Linked DNA regions of Struthio camelus. The protein of the gene in region 2 purifies or fractionates together with the protein of the main gene of each other region. This does not show direct contact. Links are inferred from orthologs where the notes say so. Each region holds a gene or a part of one and is shown on either strand. Other genes may lie near its edges.

What was found.
Region 1: the proteins of SAAL1 (region 2) and SLC27A2 purify together in Homo sapiens (co-immunoprecipitation; 3 studies listed by BioGRID and IntAct, with this or other methods). This does not show direct contact. The link is inferred for Struthio camelus from reciprocal best matches to the Homo sapiens genes SAAL1 and SLC27A2.

What each region holds. Positions count from the first base shown.
Region 1 is NC_090953.1:12,392,443-12,408,679, forward strand, and holds the start of SLC27A2 (long-chain fatty acid transport protein 2), read left to right. Parts: upstream 1-9,365; 5' UTR 9,366-9,432; coding exon 9,433-9,913; intron 9,914-12,888; coding exon 12,889-13,098; intron 13,099-14,354; coding exon 14,355-14,513; intron 14,514-15,042; coding exon 15,043-15,167; intron 15,168-16,237. UniProt on the Homo sapiens protein: Mediates the import of long-chain fatty acids (LCFA) into the cell by facilitating their transport across cell membranes, playing an important role in hepatic fatty acid uptake.
Region 2 is NC_090946.1:19,853,844-19,869,448, forward strand, and holds SAAL1 (protein SAAL1), read left to right. Parts: upstream 1-5,213; 5' UTR 5,214-5,307; coding exon 5,308-5,424; intron 5,425-5,574; coding exon 5,575-5,679; intron 5,680-7,073; coding exon 7,074-7,157; intron 7,158-7,904; coding exon 7,905-7,984; intron 7,985-8,532; coding exon 8,533-8,592; intron 8,593-8,859; coding exon 8,860-8,975; intron 8,976-10,024; coding exon 10,025-10,208; intron 10,209-10,485; coding exon 10,486-10,568; intron 10,569-10,726; coding exon 10,727-10,915; intron 10,916-11,682; coding exon 11,683-11,879; intron 11,880-12,311; coding exon 12,312-12,404; intron 12,405-12,959; coding exon 12,960-13,052; 3' UTR 13,053-13,596; downstream 13,597-15,605. Other genes in the region: serum amyloid A protein, read left to right, coding at 3,456-3,558, 4,275-4,413, 4,884-5,025. UniProt on the Homo sapiens protein: Plays a role in promoting the proliferation of synovial fibroblasts in response to pro-inflammatory stimuli.

The DNA.
Region 1 (16,237 bases), on a different chromosome or scaffold from region 2:
CTAACAGAGCCTGAAATCCATATTCTGACCAACTGTATGTGCATATAAGCATGAGCACTAACATATGTATAAATATTGCACATATGTTTTAATTTTAGATGTCAAGTTTCTATTATAAAGAGGTGACAGAGCTGAAGAAAGTTCTGTGAAGGCAAAGGATTTAGTGATCATAATCCATGACATCTTACACTCTGTCATTTCCAGAGGCAGTGGAGTGCTGACTACTAAGAAACTCAGGAGGTTCATGCAGCAAAAGGCACATCACTTGGTGGGATAGATTTCATTCAGACCAGTATTTTCACGTATACAGTAACATGATCTGCTGACATTTTATAGGGTCAGATCTGTGACAACAATTCTTTCTCTCAGGGCTGCCAAGTGAACTTCATGGCTCTAAGACGTTTGAAATCTCTTGAATATCAAATAAGTGGTTTTGTGATATGCCTTGCTGTACATTACCATCTCAAATTGGAAACTGCTCCACATTTTTCTTGAAGAGTATTTGTAAGAATTATTAGTGCAAACTACCAGTGACTTTGGAATAACTGCATTGCACCTGGTTTTCTTCTCACTCATACTGGAGTAAAAACAAAATTGTAGCTTTGTCATATTAGGCATCTGAACGACCGTTTCAAACCAAATTCCGGGTTCCTTTAATCACTGTGGGTGTGGCAACTGGAAGTACCATACCGGCCTCCTAATGCAAAGAGTTTTTGCACGATTTTTGTGGCAGTAATAAGTACTTGTTCAACCTGTATGTCCTTGGAAAACACAGGAAGCATTTGCTGTCCAATAACCTGTTAATCCATCCCAAGCTTCACGGAGAGGACAGCCCAAAACACCAGGTACATTTTACCTCTATTTACCCTAGGGAGAAGGCTACAAAGAACAGCTTTTCCCCTTTTTTTCCTTTCCACGTTAAACCCCAGAATGCTTTGAAGAGACTCCCTGAAAAGAAGAATAAGCCACAGAATCCCAGTCACTCTGTGAAGTTTCTTGAGCTTTTTCTTCTTTAATCAGTTCTGCCCTGCTCTCCCCTTTGCTCCACAGGCTAACTGACAGCATAGGTTCTTCCATACGAATTGGGACAGGGTTATATATTAGTTTGAAGATTCCCTTTGACAGACAATTATTCAATTACTGTTTTCTAGTGCGTGCACGCAGGTTACTCCTGTAAAAGAGGCTGGAGTACCCTTGGACTAAACAAGATGACAAAGCTTTTCCGTTCAGTTTGCTATACCTCAGTAAATTAGGCTGCAAGAATAAAGCCTCTTTTGCTCTTTCTAAAAAATATAGCTCTTCAATAAGCACTTTCATTTACCTGATGCTCTTGCTGGCAGCATCTTTATCTATTGTTCACACTGTTATGACTCTTAGAAGTTTGCTGAGCTAAAGTATAAGCTTTCTTTGATGGTGGGATGGTGACAAATTATACATGTAGAGTTTGATCTTGAATGTCTCCCCCAAAGACTTAATAAATTCTTTGCGAGTTTTATGCTCAGTCTAGTTCAAAAATTGGACATGTGGATGTTGTCTACTTTTCCATCAGAAATGAAAAAATGGTAAAGACACATTTTGCCCTGTACTCAATGAACTGTATCTGAACTAACTTTCACTGGCATAGCTCTAGAATGATGTTGGCTTTCTATCTACAATGAACTAACAGAATTCAAAATCTAATTATGGAATGGAAACATTTTCTCAACTCCAGAAAACTGGACAAGGCTCCCTGTGGAGGTTCTGTATTAGGAGACAGGATAATTCTTGAGCTCTGACAGCTCCCTTCCCTGATCTAGATGAGCACATCTGTTCTGCTGCAACCCCAACCACATCCATCTAAGAAAGCTGAGGATGGGCACAGAGCCAAGAATCCCGTTTACATCTAACACCAGGAATCTCTCACGTGTCATTGCAAACTAGTACAATTCGGCTCCTAGAATTTCATATCAGTTGCTTCTAACACCTCTACAACAGAAAGATGAGTTTCACTATGACTCAGACAGCTTCACCTAGAAGATCTTTAGATAGTTCTAACTGAGTAAAGAGCTAAGTCAAAGCAAGCTACTCCAAATAATATAAAAGAGTTTAAGATCTTAAATTTTAATATAGTAGAAGCAAACCTGATATTGTAAGGTGATTTGGTGGGCAATTTTTCAGCAAAATAGGTTTTTAATCACCAAATGTCAATTCCTTAAAATGGAAATGTTTTAGAGCCAACAAATTTAGGCAGAATATAGGAAAGGTTCCCTTTCCTTCTTTCACCTTCTGCTCCAGTTTTCCATGCAGGCTGCTAGGAAGATAGGTACTCACAGTCTGCCAGGAGTGCTGCATTTATTCCACAAGCTTTCTAGTATTGCAGCATAAGAGTTAGAACTCCAGCTAAAGCTACGGGCAGCTTTTGAAGACCAGCTGCCCTCTCAAGATAACATATACACTTCTAACCACCGGGCTAAACTAACAAACCATGATTTGCAGGATGGAGTACCTAAGATCCATAACCATTAATTGCATGCATAGCAACAGTACTGGCATTTAGATTTTTCATACTCTCCTACTAGCACGACTCCCATTTCCTGTGGAGTGCAGCAGATCTTGTGTATGTCTACACTATTTGAAATCTGTATTTGCAGCCTATAAATCTGGACTGTTCATCCATATTGTTTTGTTTAACTTGAGTCAAGCCATGTTTACTCACAGCCAGGCTGCACCTGCTCATCTTTTAAAAGTAAGGTCACTAACGTAAAAGGAACATAAAAGAGCTTGTAGCAGATTGAAGCAATGTAAAGGCACCCTGCAACATCTAGATTTCTTGATTTTGGGGGCGGGTGGAAAGGGTTGGGCAATACATTAAACAAAAATCTATTGGAAATTCCAGGGTCATAGGAGAAGTTTGCTCACTCTGAGGGAGACTTTTTTGGAGGCTTCTGATGGCAAATGACTTTAGTGAGCACATGGGTCAAGTCAATTGCAGAGTGGACCAGCAAGTCAATCCACCTAGCTGACCAACTAGAACTTCTGATGTATTACAAATTTGCAAGCATCACCCCTCAGGAGTGGGGAAAGAGCTAGAATACTACTGATAAACTACTGAAGTTAGTGGTTTAAGGGGTGCCAAAGAACTTACTTCACTGACCCTCATCTGCTGAACCTTTGCCAGAGAGGGAGGACAAAAATGGAATGCCTTGAACTTTGCCAACGAATGGGTTCTCTCTTGCGGCTTTCTCTCTTCTTGCATTTACAAAAATGATTCTGCCTGGTTAATAGACACACTGCAACTCATGTAGAAGCTGGAAGGGGACAGAAGGAGAAACTGAGAGAGAACATGTAGGAAAGGAGATCAAGCTGTTGCTTATATGTTGCCTCACTCTCTCCTTTGCATTGTTCCTAATAATGACTAATATGACCCCTTGATGAGCCAGTTTTACTCACTGAGTCAGCAGAGAACTCACCCAACAAAATACAGAACTTTCTGCTGGCTTAGTGAGCTGAACTGGTCACTGAAGTGCCAGAAGAGCACTAGAGTTAGAGCAAGGGAGGCAGTGGAACTAGGAGGCTTACATATGGAGAAGAGGGAAATGGAGTCACCCCTTTTGGCATCACCAGTGTATTCGAGCAGTTCAGCCTGTCTCATCTAATTGCAACCTTACAGCAATACTGTGATGATACTGCAAATAAACCTTGCAGCCTTCAATAACAACTGCAGTAACTGTGGATTTGAAAATGGGACAGGAAGGCATTTGAAACTGGAAGTTGAAGATTGAAGACTTCAGCCCAGCAGTCCTAAAAAGTATCCAGTTGTGGCTTTCAGTGCGAAGAGTCAGGTGAACCAGGTGAGAAAGAGCACTACCCAGCTGTCCTGTTGCAGGGACTCAACCCTGCAACCTGCGCTCAAGGCACAACCCATCCGCTCTGAACCTTGTCTCTCTACCACTGGTTACCAAGTAGCTAAGTGTTGTTCTGTGGTATGATTACTGTCACTTTAGCAAGCTAGAAAGGAGTGTGCCACCTGGTACTGTTTCAGTGAGGTCTCCCATCAAACCATTAAAGAACAGAAAAGAAAACAGCAGAGAAAAAAGAAGTGGCTGTCTGCACAGAAAAAGCTGCAGCCTGGAGTACCCCACGGTTAGGCAGCATAAGCAGTGCATAGCTTTACCACGCTCCCTGTCTAGGGAAGGCTACATGCCTTCCCCCTAAGCAGTACTAGCAGTACAGACAGCTTGAATCCCAATTTAATATAAACCTCCAGTTACTTGTTACCCTATGGTGACATCTTGTGGATCAGAGCAAAATACCCCTGCCTAATTCCACAGAGCCATGAGTGCCCTAACCTGAGAAATCTCTTTCCCAAGTCTCATGAGTTTTATAGCACCGTATAGGGTAGATGGAATTGGTTTAGCTTTTCTTTAATTTTTCCTGCTCTGTAGATAGTGCCAATGAGCACTGTAGGAACAAGCTCTACACAAAGAACCAAAAATAGAAGTAAAAAGGGAAAAAAGCAAACAGGAGAGTAGAGCACAGAGTCTGAGAAAAGAAGAGAGTAATAAATAAATGTCATAAACTACATTTTCTATCAATAAAAGTGTTTCCAATGTCCAAAGCATAGTACAAGCAAGTGTTGCGCTATTAGGAGTTAATAGCTGAAGCTAATGGGAGCCTATGCCTGCTTGTCACAGCAGCAGGAGCATGCAAATAATCATCACCACACAATCATAGCTCTGCAAATATTAAGCAGCTAAACCTCCCAGGATGCCTGTGCATGTAGTATCATTCACACAGGCTGGAACTGAAGATTCAGTTCAGATTCAACTTGGGATACTAAGAAATGGAAAAAGTTAGCAATACTCCGATAAAAATATCAATTGATTTTGGAATGTTAATTTTGGAGCCTCCAGTTTGAAATACTCAGGCATTATTTATAAATAAAATTACAAAATTAATTTCTCATATTTCTTTAACTATACTAAACTGTATACACCACCTACAGAGGTATAATTTTTATTAATCTAGCAAGGAAACTTGGTATGAATGATCATTCACTGTCTAAATTAAATTTCTATGAAATTTAATTTAAAAATTTTGATAGGTATCAATCTATTTCTCTACTACAGTAGATTTTTATTACTTTAACACAAGTGATCAGCCAATGTCTGTGGCTAATTGTCATTTATTCTGAAAATACTTTCACTAAAAGCTATTCCAGTATAACTTCCTATGGAGACATATTTATCCAGAAGGTAATTTTCCAAATAAAGAGTTATTCTAAAATAGCTGTAGTCCTTTAAATTCACATCCTATCTTACATCAGAATAATACGTAGCAAAGATGCTCCAGGTTTCTGAGGGAAATACCACCTTACATCTTCATATTCACAACAATTTATACATCTAGAGAACAACCATTCAAGTCCAAAAGAAAATGCTTAACTCCTTAGGAGTTCTGATCATACCCTCAGTGAAGGAAATGAATATTTTAACAGTAACTTCAAGGGGAAAGGATAGAGTCTGTGTGCTCTAATGCTGTAAATCACTAAACATTTTATTTTAATTATTAAAAAACAACAGCTTACCAGTGTGCAATATTTTGCTGTCTTGCCATTTTTATCCAATACCTCTGAACACCTACGTTGACTAGTGTAAACAGATGGTATGCTGAAAATGATAAAAGTTTAAGTTATGGTCCCGTAACATGGGAAAACATTCATTCTATGTAACAAGAAATACATTCATTTGTGACCTCTGCAGGCATTTTAAAATACGATACATCAGCCCTGACTGATGCAGAGAAAAGAAAGAGTTCCATGAATGTCACCTATCACGGAGATAGGATAAAAGTGCTTGTATTTCAGGTACTCCCACAAAGCATTACAAGAATGGGAGGAGCAGTGAAAGCTGGAGAGGAGGAGACTATGGAAAGGCAGCACACATGGCAAGTCATAAACTCATTAACTGAGCACCTGTTGAAAATGGTAGTGAACAGGTTTGAGTAGCCTCTGGTTGCCACACAGGCCTATGACTGTGCGGGCTCCCGAAGGGGTGCTTAGGCAGGGGTGTTTACCCAACATTGGCAAGAGGCCCTCTGCAGAGCCTGGCCCATGGGCAATGTCCAGCACAGGATGGTACTGCTGACTTCTGCAAGGTGGGCAGGGCCCTGTCCGGTTTCCAGCACAGGCACAAGCACACGTGCTTCTTGTCACACCAAACAAGAGTCAGCCAGTCACAGAAAATGCCATCAATACTCTCCAATAAATCTGCATTTAGAACAGCTAATTGGGAAAAAAAAAGCAAGTGTAGGTATTAAATGAAGTTTATTGAACTATAAAACCTAGCAAGGAACTAAGTTAATAAGAAAGCACTCCTTTGCCCCAAGCTAAAAATAAATGATATTTGATTCAGCAAAAATCCTGAAGCTTACACAATGCAAATTATAGCCAAACTGACACCTGGTTGAGGAAAAATATCAATACACACTAAAGCAGTCTATAATATTAGTCAGATACAAAGTAACCCACATGGATTAGTAATTCTGTCAGAAAAAGAATTTAAAAATCAGAAAAGCACAAGACACTTCAAAGCCATGTACCACATACAGCATGATCGTGATATTTTATTAACTTCAAAACAAAATATGAATTAGCAGTTAATTACCTATTAAAGTTGCCATGCTAATGAGAAATACTTGAACAACAAAATTGTATGTAGCAGTAGACTAATACACCTTCATCCCTTGGGATTACTTAAGAAAAATAAATTGTCCCCGTGTGCACCACAGACTAATTCCTAAGAGGACTTTGCTTTGTGTGGTTTTAGAGAACAAAAACAAATCTTAGTGCTAAATGAAAAGTATCAGAAGGAACATACATATAGACATAGGTCATTAGGACTCAGTATATATTAGAGAAAATAACAGGGACAGAAGTGTAGTTTGTTTCAAATTTGGAGGCTATACAGATGCCTAATAACGTTGACATACAATGCTGACATAATTACTGCTTGAACTGTTGAATTCCAGTTGCCTTTGCTAGGCTAATAACAGGAAATACTGCCTCTGAAGTTTACGCTGGCTCAACAAGCTACCGAGTTCATAACTGAAGTCAATATGTAGAGTTAGAAACTATGAATAGACTAACTGGAAAAGGGTGAAAAAGGTGCATCTCAAGGTATAGCTCAGGATAAAAATGTATTGTGAAAAAGCTGGCCAGCAAAACAAATATTTATTTTGTGACAATTTACAAGTTTTTAAAAAATCCATCCTGAACAAAAAGGCAGACAGAAGTCCTTCAAAAGGCCACTCTGGGCATACTCATAATAAATTAACCTGAGGCTTTTAGCTCTGCAGACCGCTGATTAAGATTCCCTAGTGAACTTAGAGAACTAATGCTACTGCCCATCTGAGAAAGCAAGAGGCATAACTAAACGAGAAGGTTACACAGGAAAACTCTTCTTCACAAAACACATCGCAAGACCACATACTCTTCTGAGCAAGTGCCTAGAATTAGTTATGATAGTTTGGTAATGTTTTGGAAGGTCTGGCTGTGGACATAACCTATAGGGCATATTAATTTCTCCCTTGTTTCCCATGCAGTCACCATCAGGTAAGGAAGCTTTTAAAAACATATTGTATCTTTTATGGCTGTAACTCTTCCAAAAAAAAGTGCTAAGCTAAAGTAACTCTTCAGGAAACCAAACCTGGTAATGCCTGATGCCCCAACTTGAAACAGTAGCTCTGAGAACTGTAAAAGACACTGTTTTATCCAAATGCTAATGCTTAATAACAGTCAAAACTTAGCCTAAACATAAAACAGTTACTTTTCAGGTGAGTTAGCTCTCTGAACCAGCTCATCACTCAGTCCCATCATTTCTAATGCTGGCACATGGTGAGGAGTATGTGAGCAGGAAAGATGCTACTGGCTTTAGAGCGCTTGAAATCCATCAGGTCCAATTTCAGCTGCAGAGGAACTGCCTGGGAGGTCCAACTACAGCTAAACTAAATGGACTGCTCAACTCCCTTGCATTAGAGATAGCTACAGTTCATGCAATAGCAAATTGAATTCATTTGTCAGGCCAATCAAAGTCTGTAGTAAAGAAAAAGGTTTGCTGGCAGTTAATTCACTGAACTGAATCAACTCACCTTGTGGCCAAAGAAATACCCTATCTGACATAAAAAGAGAGCAGGGAACTGACTGAGGGAGGAGGAAACTGTCCTCTCAGTGACACATGGCAAAACAGCAAGAAAAAAATAATATGACTTTTATTTCCAGCAATGGCTGCTTGAACTTCACTGAGAAAAAAAGTAAGTTCTGGTTGCTGCGTCCAGTAAGAAGGGTGAAATTCCTGGAGTTTGCTTCAAGGTTGTCAAAGTAACCAATGGCTCTCCTAGCCTTGGACAAAAGCAAGGCAGAGAGATAGACTGTAAATTCCTTTTGTGCATCTAGAATACTAATAAACATTTTTATTTAACTCAAAAAAAAAATCAAATCATACGCTAAATTTCCAGCTGGTTCAGTTGCTGTTTGCCTATTTTGCCTATTTGCTACCCAGCCAGGAAAAGTGCCAGGGCTGGCACAGGAGGAGGGTAGGAACATGTTCCTCAGGGCAAGCTGTGTGAAACTATGATAGTTTCTCACCTGATCTTGTAGGGAATCTCGTAAATCTCTCCCGGCGTGAATCTTGACTAGGCTTGGCTGCCTGTGTCAGCGATGACTGCAAAGTCAAAGGGGGAAATCCATATGGTCCGTATACAACGCAGTGCGCGTTCTGCCTCGGAGAGCCGCATCAGGCTTGTTTGTAACGAAATGTGCCAACCTTCCGGCACCCTCAGGCCCAAAACTGTGCGTCTCTTCTCCAGCACCGCTGGGCACAACTTCTGACACTGCAAGCAGACATGTAACCCACCAGCACAGATCCCTGCCGGCCCTGCAAGGCTGTGACTACAGCTTGGCGCTGCCAGGTGCGCTCAGATTCCCTAACAACGGTCATCAAACCGGGCAGCGACTGCCACCGAATTAGACAACTCTTCTGGGGGCACCGAGGGTTTGGGGGAGGAGAAGGACCGGCTCTGCAGGTCAGTCAGCCCTTGCTGGTGCCAGGGCAGAAGCAGGGCACGGTGCTCGGTTCTGCCCCAGAGGCGCCGACGGAAGAAGCGGGGACCTGGAGGGGAGGCGACCCCCCCCCCTCCGTGAAACGGGGACCGAGAGGCGGCTCTGGCGCTGTGAGGGGGAGCAGGCGCGGCCGTTGGTGGCCCCCCCCTCCGCGAGGCGCGGCCGTTGGTGACGCCCCCCCCCTCCGCGAGGCGCGGCCGTTGGTGACGCCCCCCCCCCCCCTCCGCGAGGCGCGGCCGTTGGTGACGCCCCCCCCCTCCGCGAGGCGCGGCCGTTGTGGCCGAGCGCGCGCGGGGCGTGAGAGAAGGGACGAGCAGGGGCAGCAGCGCGGCGCCATGGTGCCCGCGCTGTGCACCGCGCTGGCGGGGCTGCTGCTGCTCCTGCCGCTCCTGCTGCGCTGCGCCCGGCCCTACTTCTTACAGGACTTACGCTTCGCCCTCACGATGGCGCGGGTGGCGGGGAGGGCGCGCAGAGCCGGAGCCGGCCGTCCCGCCCGCACCCTGCTGGACGTCTTCGCGCGGCGGGCGGCGCGGACGCCGCACAAGCCGCTGCTGCTCTTCGGCGACGAGGTCTCCACCTACGAGCAGGTGGAGCGGCGGAGCAGCCAGGCGGCGCGGGCGCTGCGCGACGCCGCGGGGCTGCGAGCGGGCGGCTGCTTGGCCCTCCTCATGGGCAACCGGCCCGCCTACGTCTGGGTCTGGCTGGGCTGCGCCAAGCTGGGCTGCGCCATGGCTTGCCTCAACTGCAACGTCCGGGCGACGTCCTTGCTGCGCTGCTTCCAGAGCAGCGCGGCCACGGTGCTGCTGGCGGCCCCAGGTGAGGAGAGAAGCCGCTGAGGCGGGCCGCGGTCGCTGGGGAGAAAACCCACGGGCCGAACGAGCGGAGGCTGCTCCGCGCAGCGGGGGCACCCCCGCGGGTGGTCGGGTCTCGCCCGTGGGGCCTTCCCGAGTCTCCCCGGGGCGGTTGGGTGTCCCATGCCCCGCGGCGCCTCGGGTGGCCGGCCGGCCGCTGCAGGGTGCTGAAGAGCAGGGCCTGGCTGCTTCTGCTGGTACCTCGGCATCCAAGAGCTGAACCTGGGGATTTGAGAGGTTACATCAGACCAGAGGGAAAGAAGAGTTTTCTGGATAATTTACCCCATGTTTGCATTTTCTGATCATGTGTGAGACAAGAGAATTGCGCTCAGGTGCTCTGTTATTTGATAAGGTTGATGAAGCCATAGTGCTAAAATAACCCTCAGTCACACAACGTTATTCCTAATGTTCACAGTAATGCTCAGGTTGGAAAGAAACAATTACGGTCATGCAAAAGAATCCTCTTGGTGTAACTGGACAGTGACTTAGACACCTTAAGGTGGTTGCAGTCTCTATAAAAGTTTGTGTCAAGTTTCAATTCAAAGACAAAAAAGTGAACACACCTAGATGAACCACACTACTTTTTCATAAAATAGACGTGTTGGTTTGTTTTAAGTGGAAAACTGCATTCTGTTCCACATTGAATAGAAACCTTATTTCATGCCTAGTCTTTCAGCTTTCTGTATATATATATTTGTATATATGTACATATATGAATGCCTGACTGTACGGGAAGTCAAAGACACTGTTTGTCTGCCCAGAGTTAAAAACATTTACATGAATATATACCCATTCTCAGCTTAGATAGTTGAACTCATTCTTCTACTGCATGTGATCAAAGTATTTTACTCGCCCCAAACTTTAGGAGTTTAAACACTAAGTTTTCTCCTTTCTTGATCAGTTTCTACTTCACTGAAAATAAGTTCTGTAGAATCTCTGCAATCTCTTCAAAATTAATTGGTATTTATCAACATTTATGGGAAAAACTAATGTGTGCAAGAGAAAATTAATTTTTCTCCTTCCTTCTCAACAATTTGAGTAATCAGGTATTGACCTCAAATTTTCTAAAAAAGCCTTCAGCTCTGGGAAGGGAATTTTTAACGAAAAAGTTTGCTGAAAATTGAGCTTTATTAATGAAAGTTTACTACATGCTTAAATCCACTAGTGATTGCTGAATATAAGGAAAGGAAAGAAGTCTTTTTCTGTTGGACCTTGATGCTCTCTGTCCTTATTAAGTTTCATCCTTTATTATCTTGCTTCTTTAGGCAAAAGGTAAATATTGCCTCATCAGAACTTATCATAATACATGATCATGTCTGTGTGCTTCCATAGGCAAGTTTCCAGAAAAAAAAATATGCTGAATTAATTAATACAGAGTATATGCTATCAATGATATCTACAACAAAAATGAATTTACAAGTTTCCTGGAGAATTATTCATCTCTAAGGTGCCAGCTTGTAAAATGTGTGCCTTATTAATAAAGGGCCTTATTTTCTTTCCTTCATGGCTGATTGTGGCTCAGGAGCGAAACTCTTCCCCATCCAGCTTTATTCTTTGTGCAGCATCTGTGGGGTGCCAGAGAACATGGTGGAACAGAGGAAGACAGACCAGGCTATACTAATATTTTGAGATGTCCTTAGCTGTTCACTAACAGAAGCCTCCATGAGATGTTCATGAGTAGCTCAGTGGCAAAGGGACATCCCTTGTAATCTCAGGATATTTTTTGGACCCAAGTTTCAGCAGAAGTTCAGAACTGTTTGATGGAGGATTCTAAAGTCTGAGAGACTTGAAAAGTTTGCTTTTGTGCAATTGGGACAACCTTCTGATGCAGGTCTGGGCTTCATCTGTAGTCACTTAAACTGAAAATACAGTTTTGAGTAATAGCATTAATTCTCAGTATTAAAATTCCTGAGAGATTTGTTAATTTAGTAGTATTTTATTTACTCTCTGTTTTGAAATAAAATAGGTGCTGAAAAAATAGATACCATTATGAAAAGGTTTTATATTATGATATTTCAATGAAAGGTGTTGAGGATTCATTTTAAATTGTTTGAATGGATAATTCTGGAAGGCATTTAGTCTAGATTTCTAAGGAAATAAGGTATATACAATTGCATCAACTGTCTGCTCATCTTGCTAACAACTCTTGAATCCATTACCTAGTTCCATTTGTTAAGGGAATAAAAGTTTCAAGGATGATTACGTACCTTCAGACTTGGTAGAAGTTGTTAGCCGGTAGAGGAGAGAGATCAGCATTACTGCTTCAGTAAGAGAAAGGCAGGCAGGACTTGATGATGCAGGGAGTATGCCTCCTCAGATTGCATATATCTGCACTCATGCTGTCTCTTGTTGATTGGAGATACTGGAGGGAATATATGGGGGAATGGGGCATGTGGAGGAGACAGACATAGGAAGAGGTAGGACACAACTACCTGGGAGTCCAGGCGTCAGTAGTTCCATTACTTATGGAGTAAGTCACTTTTGCAGTTCTCCTCGGTGTGTTGAGACTTTATAAAGGTAAGGCTCATCTTCGTGCATAAAACATGGTGAGATTTAAGTAGCACCTACTTTTGTGTGAGCAGTTGCTAGGTAAGGCATTTCTCACTGTGGAGACGAAACATTAGCAACATGGAGCTAGTTAGGCCAGGTGCCTGCTACCTCAGGGTGTGCAGGCACAGGGAAGTGTGCCTGGATGGCACCTTTTTAATTCTGTTTGTCCATTCAATCTCCTGCTGCAGAAGATCATATAAGTCCCAGTTCTGCGGGGAGACACCATTTCTCTTCAGTTCTTTTGCTGGATTCTGAAGTGACTTGGGCATGAGTTTCTCTAACAGCAATTAAATATGAAAGCTCCTGAGGCAAAAGTTGATGCACTGATAGTACAGTTCACTGAATAGTACAGAATTTTGTTATAATACTTTTTTTTTCTGCTCCTTTAAGAGTTGAAGGAATCTGTTGAAGAAATACTGCCATTGTTGAAGGAAGAAAATGTTAAAGTTTATTACCTAAGCAGGACATCTGCTACAGACGGAGTTGAGAGCTTTCTTGATAAAATAGATGCTGCTTCAGATGAGCCTACTCCATTGTCTTGGAGATCAGATATAACCTTTAAAACTCCTGCCATGTACATTTATACCTCTGGTACTACAGGTAATGTAAATTCATAAAAACGGTATGGAAGGTCACACATGCTTCCTGACGTTATGATTTTTGAGTAAGGAAAGAATCTGTCACGTCGCATAATTCTTGTGCTTATTCATTCCCTCTGAGGTGAATGAAAAATTGATACTGATATCTAAAACCAAAAAAGCATACAGAACATAGGCTGACTTTAAGCATCAAGTCTGTGGGGAGGGAAGGGTGTAGAAGCCAATTAAACATACATGTTTTCTGCCAGTAAAGTAACCGTGCATCTGCTGTCTCTTGTCCCTGGAGACACTGCTGGCTTAATTATGTGTCTCAGCACCCATCGCACACCTGTACTTTGGATCATGAACTCTAAATGCCAGCCATGAAGTCCTTGGGTGCCAGAGTACCAAAAACAGTGAATGCAGCATGAAGTACAGCTAGTCATAGCCACTATGCAAAACTGTAGCTGGTATAGGAGCTGCTGCCTGCCTTACAAAAAGGTATCTAGTGTTAGGAGCACTCAGCTACAGCGCAAACTCATTGACAAGGGTGAAGACAAGGTAAGGTATGACTCCACCCTAGCTTATTCCTTTAGCCTTTCAGTGAACAGCACTCCCCTGGAAGGGAGGAAGCATGAATTTGAATCCTTTTAGGCTGCAGAATACCAACATCTCAGGTGTCTTTCATCCTTGGTAAGAGCTCTAACAGCTCCATTCTTACATAAATGGAAAGCGCTGCCGTCACTTTGTCTTCTAGCATTTATTTCACAAGAATAAAGAAGTAGTCAGTTCAGCAGTGTATGATGGGAAACCAGGAAAAGATTTTGTAATATAAATTCCAATTTCACATAAGATGATTCAGAGCTGTAAGGAAATACCTAATTCCAGGAGAGATGCAAGATTTCAGACTCATTGCTGCTTTAGCATTACCATTCGCATTGCTCAGCGTGCTAAATTCTTCCAATCTCATTCCTTGGTACCTGTTTTTCCCCATTCTCTAGGTACTTATTCCTAGGTACCAGAGTATTGGGAATTTGGACACTTAATGGGAGATAATCACCTAAAAGTTACTTGTAGGAAGACACTCTAAGCCTCACTAAGGCTAAACCCTAACATGTGTTCTAGACACGAAATGCATGCTTCCCTAAACTCTGGAACTATAATTTGCCGAGTCTAATGCAAGCATCGGAGAATAAAAGAGAAGAAACCCTTAAATCCTTGTGAAACTGAGTGGTGTTACTATGTTTATTGTTCACCTTTTTGGCTGGCTTTAAATAGGTCTTCCCAAGGCTGCGGTGATAAACCATGAACGAATAATGCTAGCTTGTGGTTTGTTTGATGCTGCCAAGGTTACCTCAGAAGATATTGTGTATACTGCTCTACCACTCTATCACAGCTCTGCGCTCCTCATTGGAGTCCATGGATGCATCATGAAAGGTACAACACACTCGACTAGCACAAAGTGTTACTGCACGGAATTCATGCACAGATGTGATCATACAGAGTTGCTTCTTAGCTACCAGCCTTGAAGTGAAATAGTTGGTTACACATGTCCCAATAATCTGGGACCGCATAATTCAAGAGATGTTCTCATTTCTGATTACTCCCTGTTTTTCACATGACTTACACAGATATTTGCCCTATACAGAGTTTATTTCAGCACCTGGACAAACAGGATATGTCCTATCTTACATGACAGCTCTTTGCATAGTCTTTGGGCTAAGCAGTACAGAGTGCCATATGTTTCATCTACCATAATAGCTTTTAACTTTTTGATGAACAGAAATAGAGGTTGAATTATTCAGCGTGGACTGTATTTCAATATGTTTTAGGAAAAATATTTCTAAAAACCTATAAAACCCTAATTTTCCAAGTTTTCTACAATGTTGCACTAAGAAATTCTAGACAGTCTTATGATATCACAACAATTGATCCTTCTGGTTTTTGTTTTACTACTTCTACACAGGTGCAACTATTGTTTTGCGTGCCAGATTTTCAGCAAGCCAGTTCTGGGATGACTGCAGGAAATACAATGTAACAGTGATACAATATATTGGGGAAGTGCTTCGGTATTTATGCAGTGTGCCACAGGTAACTCTACTTTGTGTGTGTGTGTGTGGCTAATTAGACTAGGAGTATTGACTATGTTCAAAGAAAATCTAACTGTAAGGAAAAGCTAATACACATTAACAGTCACAAATGATCCATAACTTAGCATCTATCAGGTTCATTGAGCTTACTGTGCACTACATGGCCAAAAACCTCCCCTTGCATAAAGGCAATGGATGTAACTCTCCCTCGATTTCTGGAGTGGCTTTTGGCCACTCCGGAATGGAAAAGAGAGGAGCAGGGGAAGCCTTAGAGCAAAAACATACTTCTTGATTTTGAAAAAGTCTTTTTCTAAGTCAGAGTGATCAGTTCCCAGTTAACAATGTTTTCCATGAAAGTTTAGCAAAAATTATTACTTTATTGGAAAAACATTGTTTGATCAGCATGAGCTACATATGTGATTCACTTTCCCATTATGCTTTGTTAATCAAATTGTAATATACTGTTACTGCAAAAGGCTTCTCCCTGTATGTATGTAATGTTCTCTCTGGCCCAGGAATGCTTTTGGAAAGTCAAAATATTAAAATGAAAAGTGCATGGACTGTGGCAATAACAGTGTTGAAAACTTCTAGGTATAATTTAGTGTAGTAAGTTTTGTGTTTAAGTAGTTCTTTCTGCACAAGAGCTAAAGTTACTTTTTGCAGAATATTAAAGATATTACTCCAGATGAGATCTTGCTGATCTCCAGACATGAGCTGGGACTAGTAAGAGTTCAAGGAACCAGTTCCGAATAAAATAAACTATTCCAAAGATTTGAGTTTGAAAGAACTTTACATATTAATCATCAAATACATCCAGTCAATTAAAATAACACAGTAAGCAGTGTTCTTATTTACCATTTATACAGTGCCAAAGCAAACAGAATGTTGATGTGGGGAATCTTAGATAGTACTAAAAAGCTATACTCTTCTCTAATGAGGTTTACGATCTCATGGCACACTAACATGACATTTTTTCAAGGAAAAAAGAGCTGGTGGCTTGAATTAACCACTCCTTTGAACAGTGGAATAATCACAATTAATCTTTTATTTCTGTTAAAATGGATGGAGAAA
Region 2 (15,605 bases):
CACATTATTTTGTTCTTTAGGAAGCTTGTATACATAGCAGCTTTTCTCACTTGCATGGGTTTTTTGTATGCTTCTTGAAGTTATGGTGGGGTTTGGGCTTTTTTTTTTTTTTTTTAAACAATAAACCATTAACTTTCGCACAAAGCTTTTTCATTTTGTATAGGAATGGGCATACATCTAACAATGGCAAGTGTAAAATCTAACAGTATCTAAAGTAAGCTTGTGCTGACAATCTCAACTAACTTGGGTATTAATAAAGAGTAAGAACGTACTCTTTGGAGAAGAGTAAGAAAATTGTTTTTTCCTGTTCTTGATGCACGTATTTTCATGTATTGGTAAGGTGAAGAATATAGGAAATGAAATGGTCTCATCATTGGAACATCCCAGTTGTACAGGGCAGCACCATCATCCTAAAGCTTCCTCGAGGATCGCACTGGAGACGTGACTCAGTGCCTACCAGCTGCAGTCAGCCACCCAGGCGGTGGCTGTATGCCACTGATGGTTTGGGCCGACCTGCACTGAAGCAGAGGAGTATGCTCATCTTGTGTTTTGCTAGCTGACCATTGGTGGCAGGGGCCCTGAAGGAAGCACAGATGAATAAAGTCTGGAGAGACAGTAAAAAGAGGCTCCTCTTAAAAATGCCCCACGTGTGCCTCAAAACATTATTTTACTGTTAGAATCATCACTAAAACTTACTGGAGTATCCATTTTATTTAAGATAAACATCTATAAGCGCAAGAGAGACCAAGTTTACAGTCATTCTGCAAGCAAAGTTTATAAGCCTGAGGTTGACAGGTATGGTATTAGTAAATATTTCATACAGCAGTATGACAAAATTCCCTGACGTGAACTTAAGATAAGGTAGTATAGTTTCCCAGAATCCAGAATAACTGCATGTGCTATTGTGCCTGAGCTGGTAATTCACTTCATCCTATTTCTCAGTTGGAGGTTTATTGATTTGGATTGCGAAATAACTAGATTGCAGACTGTAGGTTGCATTTATAGATGTTTACAGTTAAAGGACAAACAGTTTGAGGGGTGGATTTTCCAAATAGCTTTTATCTTAAATATATCAGAACGTACACCCTTGGAAGAAAATCCCTGAGGGGCCCCTAGCTGTGTTATGTTGGCCCAGTGTGTAAATACTACAGTACACCCACAGTGTGCGTGTTTTGTGCTAGGCCAGAAAGGACTATTCCATTCAAACCCTTCTGCATGCTCATGGTTGTGCTACTTGCAGAAGATTTTGGTTTGGAGCACACGTGGAACAAATGAGATCAGAAGTACCCTCTGAACCAAAAATGTCTGAGCACGGGCAGGGAAGCGTTCCTTAAGTCAGTTTTGCAGGCAGTGCTGTGTTCTAGGTCCCTGGTCACAATGGCATGTGCGTTATTGAGCTTGTACCCCCCTACCTAAAGGAAACATTTTCCAGTCTTGATTTTATTTTAGTCCTAATTAAAAGAATAATAATAGAGAGAGAGAGAGAGTTAGGGCTACTTGGTAGCCAACAGAGAAGGCATGTGAACTGATGTGTACCTTAGAGGCACGAGCTGTCACCAAGATGTGAACAGTGCAGCAAAATAAAGCACTCCAGGCCCTAGAATAACTGAGCTGTTACACCATTAGGGGTGAGGTTCATGGATGGTGGGGGATGAAATGGTGTCTGGCCTGCTGCTTTTTGCAAAGTGTTCTTTGCTAATGAGTTATGATCCAGATTTTCCTTGTCTCAAAGTTATTTCTTTCAGAGATCAGTGTACTAGATAATATACCTTTCCGCTCCAGGCCTGTTTCTGGAAAGTGTCTCTTCCTCTTTTAAGTTCCTGTTTGAAGTCCAGGGGTACCCAGGGAGGTTAGCTGCTGGCGCTTCATTAGCTCTGTTGTTATGATGCCTCTCTTACCTCACACGCTGCCCAACTCTAGCTGCTAATTGTTTAAGTGACAGTGGTGAATAGGACAACTACGCATGCGTCTTCTGCAGAGAATTTAAACATGTTAAATCATGTATGAGACCACACAAGGGGGAGACAGTATGCGCACTGAACCTAGGGTGAACTGCAAAACCCAGGCCAAACCCAGAGCCTTCAGCAGGTAAAAAACAGTTGTTACACAAGGGAAGCAAGCACCAAGCGGACTTTTTGAGACATCTCTCAAAGACCTGGCTCCTAATGCGAGAGAGTAGTGGGTACTCAAACTATGAACTATATCAGAAGGGCCTGCTGGTTAATGCACTTGATTTAAAATGCATTAGAGATGTGGCTGTATGGATCTCCTTTTGCTAAAATGCTTTTTCTATACCATTGTATCAAAAACATTCCTTATTTAGACCACCTGAGCCCCACTGAGACAATGTTGCAGCAGGATGGCTTAAAGTCCCCTGAGAGGGATCCATGACAGAAAACGGGAAGGACAAACCATACAAGCCTTCCTCGTGGTGGCTTGAGGACATGCTATCTTAAAGTGTTACCAACAGGGGCATAGGTTTACACAGTTTGTTTTGCAACGGAGCCCAAGAGCAATGCTTCATCTTTGCCCATCCACCATCTCTGTTATCTCAGCACGTGCGGGTCTTTCATTTAGTGGTTCCTGCACCAGGCCTGGTTAAGGCGGTTGATCTTTCCTTCTAGATAGAGAGACCTGACCTTGTGCTTCACAGTCAATGCAGGTGATAAGTAATTTCTGAGTTCTCTCTAGGACAAGATCCAAACAGAAGTGTTACACTTAAGCCAACTATAATGTTTTGAGCACGCTTGAGTCTTCAAGGCAGCTTCCCATACTGCTTGTTATGAGGAGCAAAATGGGCCTGTGGACATTTGAAGAAGTGCCATACGCTTTTTTTTTTGTTTGTTTGTTTAATTGTGCAACAAGAAATACGGACTTTCGGTAAGGACAAGGACAGGCTTCCTGTAATGTTTTCTGTGTTGAAAGTGGAGTGGTGGTGGGAAATTCCTAGCCCTGGGGATCCGTTCCAATTTCCTCTTTCTTTATGTTTGAATCACTTATAAATACCCTTTCTGACTGACTCTGAGGACATAAGACAAAACTTCATCTCCTTGTGGCTTCGCTCTTCTGCAGCAGTGAGTGGTTTTGTGCATCTGAGCGAGAGAAGCAGTGTTTTTATCTGGTATTTGGGAACAGGACTAATGCTTTAGCATATAGGATTTCATTGCGCTCAGTTAAAAGGAGCAGCAGGGAATGCTAAAATGCAAGTTTCTCATGCCTGTCTGAGAGGAGGCCTGAGTATAGCTTGTGCTTCTGCAGCGGGCATCAGTCCTTGCAGGGGAATAAGGGGGTTCTTGGGCTGGCTATCAGTGTTGGGGGCAGCATCCGCTACTGGTGCAGGTGCCCTGGAACAGCTGTGTGATGAATGTTACATCAGAAATCTCTAGAAGGTGCTTCAAACGCTGCGAATCTCTCTGGTTTTCTCACAGGTCCGTGACAGCCTTGGGAAAGGAACTATGAAGCTCTGTGTCTGCTTCGTGTTGCTCTCCATCATTGCATGTGCAAGTGCTGAAAACCCGTTATACAGGGGTGGAAAATTTGCCTGGGATGCCATAGGAGGTCAGTTGGTCTGTGAACCCAAGTCTTTCTCTCAGGAAACCACTCCCCAAGCAAAGGGACTACATGCAGTCCCTGGGTGCAGTCCTCTGGGCAGGAAGGTCCACACCTCCTCCTCAGAGCCCCTGGTGGTCTCTTACTAGCAGAGGGCAGCGATCAGCCCCTGCAGGCCCCTTCTGTGAGCACACCCCTGTGAAAGGCCGATGTGCAGAAGTGCTTCCCTGTGTTAGCGTTCCTCAGGTTTTTCCAAGCAGAGCACAAAGGGTTTGACAGGATGGGCCATGGCTCGGGCTTGAAGGTGCCCCTGCAGCTAAGAACAGGAACTGCAGGAGCAAAAGCGTGCTTATGGGGAAGGAACTTTTTGTGGATAACCTGGTGGCACAAACCCTCTGGCAGCCAACATCCCAAAGTGAAGCTGCTGGCTTCTCTGGTGCATAGCACGGAACCACAGGGCCATTGCCCTCTGTAGAGAGAGAAGCGAGGAGCTTCCTCTGCCCCTGAAGTGTCACGTCCAAGCTGTGCAAAGCTTCTTTTCAAGGAGCCCCCTTTCTTCTTTGCAGATCTCCCGTAGAAGAAGTGAAGGTTAGTAAAGGAGCTTTCTCAGGGGAGCCCTGGGGACGCTTTTTGGCCCAGCAGTAATCCATGAGCCCCTGGCTGAAATGGTACTCGTTGCTGGGGAAGACTCTTTAAAGTTAACATAATCTCTCTGCTTTATTCAGGGGCATGGGATATGTACAGAGCATACCGAGACATGCGTGAGGCAAATTATAAAGGTGCTGACAAATACTTCCATGCTCGTGGGAATTACGATGCTGCCCAAAGAGGCCCTGGCGGTGCTTGGGCTGCCACAGTGATCAGGTAATGGAGCGTGCGTGGCTTGTGAACAGCGACTTACTGGGGGGCTGGGCATGTTAGTTAGCGTGGAGCCCTTGCTGACTTGTACTCAGCTTTTGACCTAGAAAGAGTGGAGGCAAGGAAGCGCTCGACCTCCGAACAGCTTGTCTCCTTAAGGAAAGGAGCCTCTCCTCTTGCAGGGGAATTAGGGTTTTCTTGTTCTCCGAAGCGGGCAGCTTTCCTACCCCCTGTGTTTCTGGTGCTACGGGACTCTTTTTTTTTTCCCCTTGCTGATTCGTTTCCTAACAAATTTGTGGCTGTTACGGTAGTCCTCAGATAAGGACTCGGCATACGTTTGCTTCTCTCTCGCATTGAGAAGTCCTGCGGAAAAGCTAACCTGAGGCGAGCGAGGAAACCAACGCAAAGCGATAGCGTGACAGGGGAGTTACGGTTGCTTCAAGTGGTCCTTTTTTTTCCCCCTCCCCCCTTGCCAGCAACGCCCGGGAGAAGTGGCAGAGCCAGGTGAGCGGCCGCGGCGCCGAAGACACGCGTGCTGACCAAGAGGCCAACGCCTGGGGCAGGAGCGGCAGGGACCCCAACCACTACCGGCCGGCCGGCCTCCCCTCCAAATACTAACGGGGTCCCTCTCTCCCTTTACCCCGTGCTCCGCATAGCCTGAATAAAGACATGTCCCCGCTTTACCTCGACTCGCCCCTGTCGCACTCGCGGTTCCGCTTGAACGGGCGGCGCGGACCGGTTCAGATCGGCTGGGGAAGGGCGGGGGGGGGGGTGGGAGGGGCACGGCGCGGCGCCGCCCCGCGCCGCCAGGGGGCGCTGCGCTACGCGGCGCCGCTCTGGCGCCGCTCTCTCGCCGCCTCGTTGGCGGCCCGGCGGCGGCGGCGGCGGCGGCGGGGCGCCATGGACCGCAACCCCTCGCCGCCCTCCAGCGAGGCGGAGGAGGACGAGGGCGACGCGGTGGGCGGCACGGTCTACAGCAAGCACTGGCTCTTCAGCATCCTCACGCGCCTCATCGAGGTGCGGCGGGGCCGGGGTGGGGCGGGGGGGCGCCCCCGGGGCGGGGCTGCGGCGCGCTCGCTGTGACCAGCGGCCGCAACGGTCGCAACGGCCGCTGGGGTCCGCGGCGCAGCTCACGGCCGCCGCCTTGCCTTGCCCCTGTCCGCGCAGGTCATTAGCCCTGAGCAAGGGGAGCCCGGCGAGGGCGAGCGGACGGAGCTGGACGAGGAGATGGAGAACGACATCTGCAAAGTGTGGGACATGTCGATGGACGAGGTAGGAGGGGGCCCCGCCGGGACGGAGCGCCGACGTGGTTACGGGCCGCTGCTGCTGCCGCCGCCGCCGCCTTGCCGCGGCCGAGCGCCTTCGGTCCCAGCGGCGGGGCTGGAGGAGGACGGACGGCTGCGGTAGGCAGCAGGCTGAGCGCTGAGCGCCCGCCCTCGGCTCTCCGGTTCAGCCGGCGTTGCCTTTTCCGCTTTGCGGAGCGGAGAAGGTCTGGTGAGCGAGCGGGGAGCAGACCCCTCGCGAAGGACCCCTTTCCGAGGCTGAGCAAGCGCCTGGTGAGCGCTCTTAAGCCAAGCACCCGTTGGCAAAAGAAGGCCTTTTCTTGCTTCCCAGCTGCTGGGCGCCATGCTGATGTTTGAGGGTGCAAAGCAGGGTTGCATGTGAACGTAAAAGAAAAAAACACGATGTGCCAGACCTTCCCCTCCAGGTGTCTCGGGGTTTGTGCAGGGCTAGTGCTTAGGATCAGCTGGCCTAAGTGAGACCGTAGTCAGGACTGGTTTCTTGTATGACGTTCAGGAGTTGAACAGGAGCCTTGAGTCGTTAGGACACCATACCTTAGCTGTATGTGGTAATTGGCTGCAATTACTTCAGGTGCATAGCTTTTATTTTCAGCAACTTGGCTATAGCGATAATATTGATTCTGTTTCTAAAATGGTATATTTCTCTCTAGCCATCATAACGCATCATAGTAAAAAACGTAGTTGTCTCTGACAGATAAACGGCAGCTGTAGATTCATAGAGGCAATTTAATGTAACTTTTTGGATTTTTTTCTGAACGTTCTCAAATACTAGAACCAAGTAAGACTTTTTTTTAATCCAGCTTCTTTTCTCAAGTAAGAGATTTTTTTTCACGTTCTCTCTTTAGACATTTTTGAATAAACATGGAAGATATGTCCTTCACTCCTAAACAGAGAACTAATCTCGTGGTTTTATGAGGTGAAACAAGGAGGAGATTTCTAAGACTTTCCTCCTTTGTATGCTCTGAGCAAGTGCTAATGGTAATCCCATCCTTTTTCTTTTTATGTGCCTGGATTATGTCATGGTCCAAGAAAACAGCATTTCCTGAATTCTGTGTCTGACCCTCCGTGAGATAGAAAGCAAAAGAAACTGAATGTGACTGTTCTGTTTGGCTCCTTGTACAACATACCGCCAGCATCTTTACTCTTAGGGGCTTGTTGAGCTTCTGTTATTGAAGAGTGAGGATGGTAGTATAGCGTGTTATTGCCAGTAATTGTTGGCAAATACTTGATGTTTTGTAATGAGTTCAACATCTATGTTGAACTGTGGACTGATCTATGTGATCCAGTCCTTGTTCTGTGAGAAAAGGTTTGACTTGTGTTCGGAAATTATCAGTCAATTTGCTTCTCCATTTGCTTTTTCCACAGGATGTTGCTTTATTTCTTCAAGAGTTCAACGCCCCAGATATATTCATGGGAGTTTTTGCCAAGTCAAAATGTCCTCGCCTTACTGTAAGTACGGGCTGTCACAAAGCTATCCCATGTTAATAGCAACAGTAGATAGCGCTGTACATGCATTCATAAAATATCGCCCTCCTCTTCCCATTGCATTTTTGAATGAGTAAGGGAGGAAACAGAACACACAAAATCCAAATTTAATTTTTTTTTTTTTTGCACGGTGTATCTAACATGGTCTAATCAATAATTATTTCAGTAATGCTGAAGTTGATATATGTCACTATTGATAAAGGTTTAAGCATTCTAAACCATGTATTTTTAAAAATCTCTATACTCAGAAGATGAGTTTTGCTGGAATTATATTGAGAGCCCTTTCTTTTATGAGGAAGTGAATATCTGAGAGTCTTGCATTTATATGTTGATGTTTTTGTTCTTAGGACTCTATTTTAATAGTAGGGGTGTCAAATTAGCTTCAAAACAGTGTGTGTGTGTGTGTGTGTCATATAAAAAGAGAGAGAGAATGCGAGCAAAGTTAGTTTCAAGGTACAGTCTCTTCCATGGAACACCATAACTATAACAAAAATCTGAATAGTATCTCTCATGAGTATGTTTATGTTTAGGTCAATCTGACAACATTGCTTAGAAGATCCACATCTCTGTCTTGAAGTTGATGGATTGTATGAACTCGGAAATCAAACTGGAAAGCCTCTCTGAACCTTTCTTACTTTGTATGGTGGCTGTGGAAGTAAAATTGTGAACTATGTCGCAGCAGCTTAATAACACTGTGTTTTGACTTTTCAGGAAATCTGTGTGGGAATACTGGGAAATATGGCTTGTTTCCAAGACATATGCATGTCTATTAGCAAAGATGAGAATCTTGGGTAAGAGCGTACGTGCTTTATACCAGCATACGTGAACACTGCTTTTAGTAATGGATTTTGGACTGAACAGGTGAACTTATATTATTAGAATTTTTTTTAACTAATAATTTGACTTGATAAAATAAATAGGATGATGTCTTCTGTCCTGTTAAATGCGAGGAAGATAATTTAAATCAAATTTACTTACTTTCTGGACTCTCACCATCAAGCAAAATATATTATTATAAAAGGAACTAAGTTTGCTTTCCTTGCCTCATCTTCATTCAAGCCTTTTTGGCTACCCATAACTGATTGAGAAGTGTTCAGTGAAGATAAAAGAAAGGATATAGACCATCTTTTTTTTTTTTTTTTTACCATCACCAGTCAAGCTCTTTGAATCATTAATTTCTAAGTCTGGCGATGTTGAAAGACTGGAAGTGCATGCGCAAGCTGGAAAAGCTGACTTTAATTTTATAGCTGTAGCCATAGTCTAAGATTAATCTTTTTACAGACTTTTTTCACAAAGATAGTTTTTATTAAAACTCTTATCTTGAATTTTCGGCTTACAGCCAAGTGTTACTGCAACGTTTGTGTGATTCAGACTCTCCAACTCTTCTGGAAATAAGCAGGTAGGAGTTCTTGATAATTAATATATCACTAATTAATATAGTTCTGAAATGTTCTGAGGCCTATGAAGAAAACTGCAAATTGACAGATGGACTGATTATTATTATCCCATCCTACCCTTTTGTAATTTCCACATTGTTCTGGAATTGATTTGCTGTGGGCTATATTTCTATTTCTGGCACATCAGTCCAATTATTTTGGATTTATAGTGGTACAGTTAAAACCAATCTGTTGGTTTCTAATTTGTTAAATGGGCAATTCTTGTCTAGGTTGCTGTTAACTTGCCTCTCACAACCCGAGGTGGCCAATGTCTGGGTTGAGAGAATCCGAGAAAGCCCTTCTGTCTTTGACTGTGTTTGCTTTATCATGTCGAGCTCTACAAATGGTAAGTTCCTATAACAAGCTGTAAATTAGTAGGTGTTTGCAGAAAAAGTAATTGTTGAAGTATGCCGTTTCAAAGACAAGTATTTTCAATTGGGAGTGCAGAATTTCTTTACAGTGAAGTGGACCCAAACCTAGATGAGTAAGAAAGGTTTTTGGAAGATTAAAACAAAGTCTAATAGAGAAATTTTCTTTTGGCACAGTAAGGGGAAAGGGAATAGTCCTTATTAAGAGATAGACATATATCACTCTTGAGCCTTGAAATAAGACCTGCTTTAATTTTTTTTTCAGCTCAGAGATGTATTTTTCAATTTTAAAAACTGCCATGTTTGAGGAATGCTAAGTGATAGAATGGTTCAGTTCCTCTGGCAGCAGAATACTACATAGCTTTGGCATGCAGTCCAGTGGTACTTAAGTCTTTTCTTTTTCTTGATAGCGCTAATCTAGCAAAATCCTAATTAGGCAACAAATAACAGAAACATTTTGAACAGCATTTATTTTGCAAGTTCAGTTGAATTATAACAGCAATAATTGTTTGTCTAGAAATCCTGATAATTTAGCTTTTGGAATTTGAAGAATGTCAGCGCCACTGTTCTTTTTTTTAGATGATGTAATGCACAGAAATCACACTTAGTCCAATTGCAGTCACAGATCTATTTAAGTGATATGCTGATTGACAGGTGTAAGATTAGCAGAAAACTGTGGATTTAGGGACAAATGTGGGGGTTTTGATTTCAGGAGCAGAAGTTATGACTTTTCAGCAGCCTCAAGCTCATAGTCTCTTTGCAGAATGAAGTTCCTACTTTGTAAATTGCATGATAAAATAGAAGGTGTCAGTGAGCTTTCCAGCAGTCCCTGTTTATCAAGCTCTTCACCTCAATTCCTTTTTGTAGCAAAAATAAGCATAGTAACCCTTAGTAGATCATGAGTGAGACTAATATATTTCAGTACTGTGTTTTCTCTTATTACTTTTTTATGTTAGCATTTGGTGAACTCATTCTTGCTGCTCATTTTTTTTCTGTTCTTGAATCTGATATATTCTTTCTTGTGCAGTTGAATTGCTGGTCAAAGTGGGTGAAGTGGTGGACAAACTCTTTGATCTAGATGAAGAGCTAATGTTAAACTGGATTAAAAATGGCACTTGTCAGTCCGTGGGACCATCTATAGATGATTCCCCTGAAGAACTTCCAGATTTTAAGATCGTGCCTTGTATACTTGAAGCAGCCAAACAAGTCCGGTATGTGAGTTTTCCTTTCGGTTTCATGGCTGGGGAGACTCCTCATGACCTCGTTAAAGCTCATGTGTTGAAAATCTCTCTTCTGTGGGAGCTACATAGTTTGCCAGTTTGGTAGAATGCCTCGACTTATCGTTCGAAATTAGCGAACTAGCTTGTAAACAAAGAACACGGCAGTGATTGCTGATGGTCTTTTAAGCATCTGAAACAAATTGGAAGTATAAACTTCTCAGTAATCAGGTCTTTAATTTGGCTTTGGTTTTTGTTCTATTCTGTGTAGCTCAGATAATCCAGAAGGACTTGATGTTTATATGCATATCTTGCAGCTCCTAACCACGGTGGATGAGGGCATTCAGGCTATTGGTAAGACACTTGAGTTGCTACATATGGTGGGACCAAGAACGGCAGTAACTTTTAGATCCTCAGATATTTAATGGGAAAAAACAATTAAGGTGCCTAGATTAAATTTGTTGGGTTTGTGTGTGTGTGTGTGTGTGGTTTTTTTTCTTTACCTTCTCAAGTGCAGGCTCCTGATGGAGGAAAAGAAACTTGGAGTTTGCTTTATGACCTAGTTTGCCATGAACTCTGCCAACCAGATGATCCAGCAATCGTTGTTCAGGAGCAGAAAACTGTATTGGCCTCTATTTTGTCTGTACTTTCTGCTATGTTTGCCTCACAGACGGAACAAGAATACGTCAAGATGAGGAAAAGCAAGTGATGCGTTTTTCTTTTCTTCTTCTTCTTTTTTTAAAACTATTTTTACAATTGAGTTTATGTATGTGGGGTGAAAGATGGTTAATTTATTACTGTTTACTAGCTGTCAGTTTAGAACACAAAATTCAGATACGTGTTTGAACACTGTAGGGTTCTTTAATGGTGACCCTAAAAACCACAGCTAGTACAAAGCCCAGGCACTGGATACCTCTGAAGAGCTATGGTAATAGAATCTGCAGATTGTGTTCAGTCCCCTCTGCATTGGGTAAAGTTGGAGGCGTGAAAATTTGGTAATTCATCTTTGCTAAGAGATGATGTCTTGATAGTGGTTGTTGTAAAAGAAGGAGATATGGCACTAGCTTAAAAGCATCTTTATCGCTTGTTCTATGCATTGAACAGCCTTTCTAATTAAAAGGCTATCTTGGGCATGTGAGTCAGTGTTATTGCCCCACAGGACTGTGGAAAGAATTGTACTTGCTCTAAGCTACTACCGGAGACATTCTCCTCATATGTCTTACCACTGGCATATAATTTTTATAGATACAGGTTAGCTGGCAGTAAAGAGTGTTTTGGGTTTTTTTGTTATATTTCCACTTGCTTTTTTAAAACAGTTTTTGTCTGGTATAAACACAACAGTGTCAGAATGTACATTCCTATATCCTTTGTATAAAATCTTCATATATGTTTCAAAGTTCTAATCCATTGAGAAAGGGTGGGGAAAAAATTTTGGTGTTAAACGTAGTTTCTTGTTACTATATATTAGATATGCCTCTGATTGGGAGCTTGATTCGTATCTTACAATACATGGAAGGCTGTGGGAAGAGATCTGTGGATGACTCAAAGGAATCCAAACAGGATGAAACTGGAAAGGCAGAACTAAATGAGGAAGATTTCCATTTGAAAATTTTGAAGGATATCTGCTGTGAATTACTTTCCAATATGCTTCAAGAGCTGACCAAGGTAAAAATAAAATGTTAAGAGAGATTTTTGCAGAGTAGGTAAGGAAAGAAAATGTTACTATTAATGGGGCATTTTTCTGTGGCCTTTCCCCTTTCTTGTGCAAGTAAAATTCCAAACAGGAAATCACTCGAATGGAAGTCAGTTTACATAAGGAAAGGAAAGAATGTCAAACCCTCTATTATATTATCACCTCTTAGCTGGACTTCTTTATTATGGGAGCATTAAGACTAAGACACTGTTTTCACACCTTTTTGACCTTTTTGTATTAGTTATGTCTGGTATCGTCATAGAACTGTTAAAGTCTGTTCCATGTTCTGCCTTTTTATGAGAACAAAGTGCATACTGTACATGCTCTGTGTGCTACTGAGAGTTTGTTCCTCTGACAGCTGTTCATGACATGATAGTTGTATTTCTTGTCTTTTAATTTTCCAGGAAAATATATTAGAAGGGCTAAATCAGGGACATTTAAATGAGCAGACATGTTCCTGTGCGTTTCAGAACCTCTTGCCTTTGTATTTCACATCGGTGAGTATATGACAAAGTCTTTAATGTAGCTGAAAAAATACTACTTTGGTGGTATGTCCTTTCATAAGCAGGTATAGATGTATGACAAAATTGCTTATGAACAGGTAACATGTCATATTAGGCAATCTTATTTTCTCCCTCTTCTGGCTTACTTCAGCCAGAACTTTCCCTAGATCATTGGCTGATACAAGGGCCAAACTGTGCTGAAATGAATGAAGGTCTGCAAACTTATGCTGAAAATGTGTCCCTTACATTCTTGTAGAATGATTATAATAAGCGTATTTCATACGGAGCTTTTCTTTGTGTATTTTGAAACAGTAAAAGTTTTGGGAAGGTAATAAATCCCTGTATGTTTTGGAACTTAGGCCAGCTGAAATTGCAGGCTTTAGGAGGGAATGATTTACTATGGAACATTTTCCACTCTTCTGTACAACGGCCTTTCCTGGCTGCTGTTGATGGGAAGATACAGGAGTGTAGAAGCCCTTAGACTAAGTTCAGCGTAAGAATTCTGTATTCCATGGAAACGTGTTTCCTGTATTTGCAATTTATTTCCAGGTGGAGAGCTTCCTTGAAGTTTTGCGTGAAGCTGATCAGACGCTTGCTGACAATCTAGAAAAACGTTTCCCAAGCCTGAAGGTCCACACCTAAGAGTGTACATGAAATATTTTCCTTCTTTGGGATGAAGATTTTTTGACTGTTTCTTTACAGTGTTTTAGAAGTCAAATTTTCAGTAAGTGCAGAAGAATAAGGCAATGTCCTTACCAACAGATGGCTTGTAAGAGATGTTCCACGTAGCCCAGATTAATTTAGGGTTAATCTAGTCTGCATGGGGAAGGAAATGATTGTAAGTTTAGTTCTGCCTTTTCCATCGTGTTTGCTCTGGTGATGAGAGACTGTTGATTTCTAGTTGCTCTTCTGCAGAGTAGCATTCTTTGAATAACTCTTGATCCTGTGCTATTCAACTTATGTTGGAACAGTTAAATGAATGAAATGCACTGAGTATAGTTTTTTAACATGATGCTGGCCTTTTCTAAGTTGCTGTTGGCAGAAGGAGGATTGATCCATGGGAAATCTCAGATGTCCTCTGGTTAACAGGTCATCGTCTTTTCCAAGCACCTGATAAAAACAGAGTTAAATTACACAGGGAAGAGGCTTGTTTTAAGTCCTATCTGTACTTGAGCGGATATTGTAACAGAATTGTATCATCCTGCTCCTTTAAGATCTTTTCACTTCTTCTTTTAAAGCCTCTTCTGCGCTGCAGCTCTGAGTCATCTAGGGCCTGTGCAGTTCAAATGGGTGTGAGAATATCCTTATGGATGGTCAATTCTTCAACTTCCAGCTATTACACCCAGTCACCCAGAGTTAAAGTTGTAGGGCAGGTTTAGATTTAATCCCTGGCATACTTGCAAACTTTCTGCTTTATCTAAGCAGTCTGTACTTCAGTTTAGGAATATAACGTGTATCTGACAGTTCTTTCCTCATTCGTGTGGTTTATGAATTATCTGTGAGTGACCTTAGAAGTGTCATTTTAGCCTGGGATTTTCAGGGGAGCTTAAGGTGTTGGCTCACTTCTGGTCAGTGAATTCAATGGACAGTCTTCTCAAATCCCACTGTTAACTACCTTAGATTTTAACTATATTTTAGCTACGTTACTTTTTTACATCACTTCCCTGCATGCAGTGCCGCTAACATTCTTTTTTTTGTGTCTAAAAAGATGCATTAACCACACGGCAGCTCCAGCTGTTTCTATAAATTAGAGTGGAAAACAGTTGATCTTTACTATGTTTGAGATATAAAGGAAAAAGGGAGCCAGAGCATCGGGAATAACTTAATAACATACACACACCTGCTATCTATGTTTTTATAGGCTTTAAATATTGTGCTGGGCCATGTTTTGTTTGCCCTGAGTTACATGTATATGTGGCAAGATACAGTATCCGTATATGTATATAGCCTTTTCATCCAAACTTCTAGTTTTCAGACTAACCTTCCCCTTGGGCTGCCAGTGACCTCTTAGTTGTTGTCAGGGAATTTAGGATTAGAAAAATCTGACTTGCCTCATTGAAAAGAATTGCAATGGTTTCTATCAATTTTTGTATGCTATGTTTATTGGAGAAAACTGGTAACTCTGAATAGGATGACCTCATTTTCATACTACTTTGACAGTTTTTGGATATTTTCTTAAACCTACAGATTTGTAATAAAGTTTCTTTAAAAAAATGTACGCTTTTCTTCATTTTAAGTGTCAATTAAATTCATGTTCTGAGTCACTGGAATTGTCAATTAGACTCTTCACTGTATCATTTGTAAGAGCAAAACTGAACCTCTTCCTAACCTAAATATCCTGTAAAATGTGTTGTCCTTTATTGGATGTTCCTTTTAACTATCTCTTGCTTTCTTCTCTTAGTCATTTTTATGGCTTGGAAGTTTATGGCTCTGTCATCCAGTTGTTACATTTTTCTGAACTTACCTTGTCCCAGGGCATACCATGAATATCTTTATAGTAGTCCACCCAGGTTAAGAATTATTTCTAGTTTGCACCTCTTGAGATTTGGTGCTTTCCAGGGCTTGCTTAATGTAATGTACAAAAAAGCTGAAACAAGATCTTTTGTTTTATTTGCTTCCTCCTCTTTGCCAATACACAATTATGCAGTACTGGCTGATTAATTGTTAAATGTGGTCTTTTTAATTACAAGGAATGAGTGAGATGCAGCATTCCCCTGATATAATTACTGCCTTAAATTGGATGATATCTAACACCTGTCATGCGGCAGAGAAAATGACAGATATCAATCAACGGGACACCAGCTCGGTCCCATCTTCCCACTTTTCTGCACGAGAAGCAGCAGTAAAAATTGGTTCCGTCGGCTTTGTTTCAGCACGCTAATAATTCAAGTATGTCAGGAGTTTTTATCCTTGCTAAACATAGTGGAATGGAGACTGAATTCCCCTTTTGCCCCAGCAAACAGCTATTCTTGCGCAGGCTGTGCTGCATGAGTCGGACAGCACTGTCTTTAGCAGCAAGAGGCTGGGGCCACATTGAACATAGGGGAAGCGTGGAGCATTTTGAGCGTTCAAAAGTGGTAGAAACTTTCTTCATAGTAGCCAATGATTGATGTGTTCAGCAGTGGCGCCTGTATATTGCATAGTCTTGCCAGCAGGGATCTCCCTGAGCTTGTGCTTCATGTACATCATGAGTCC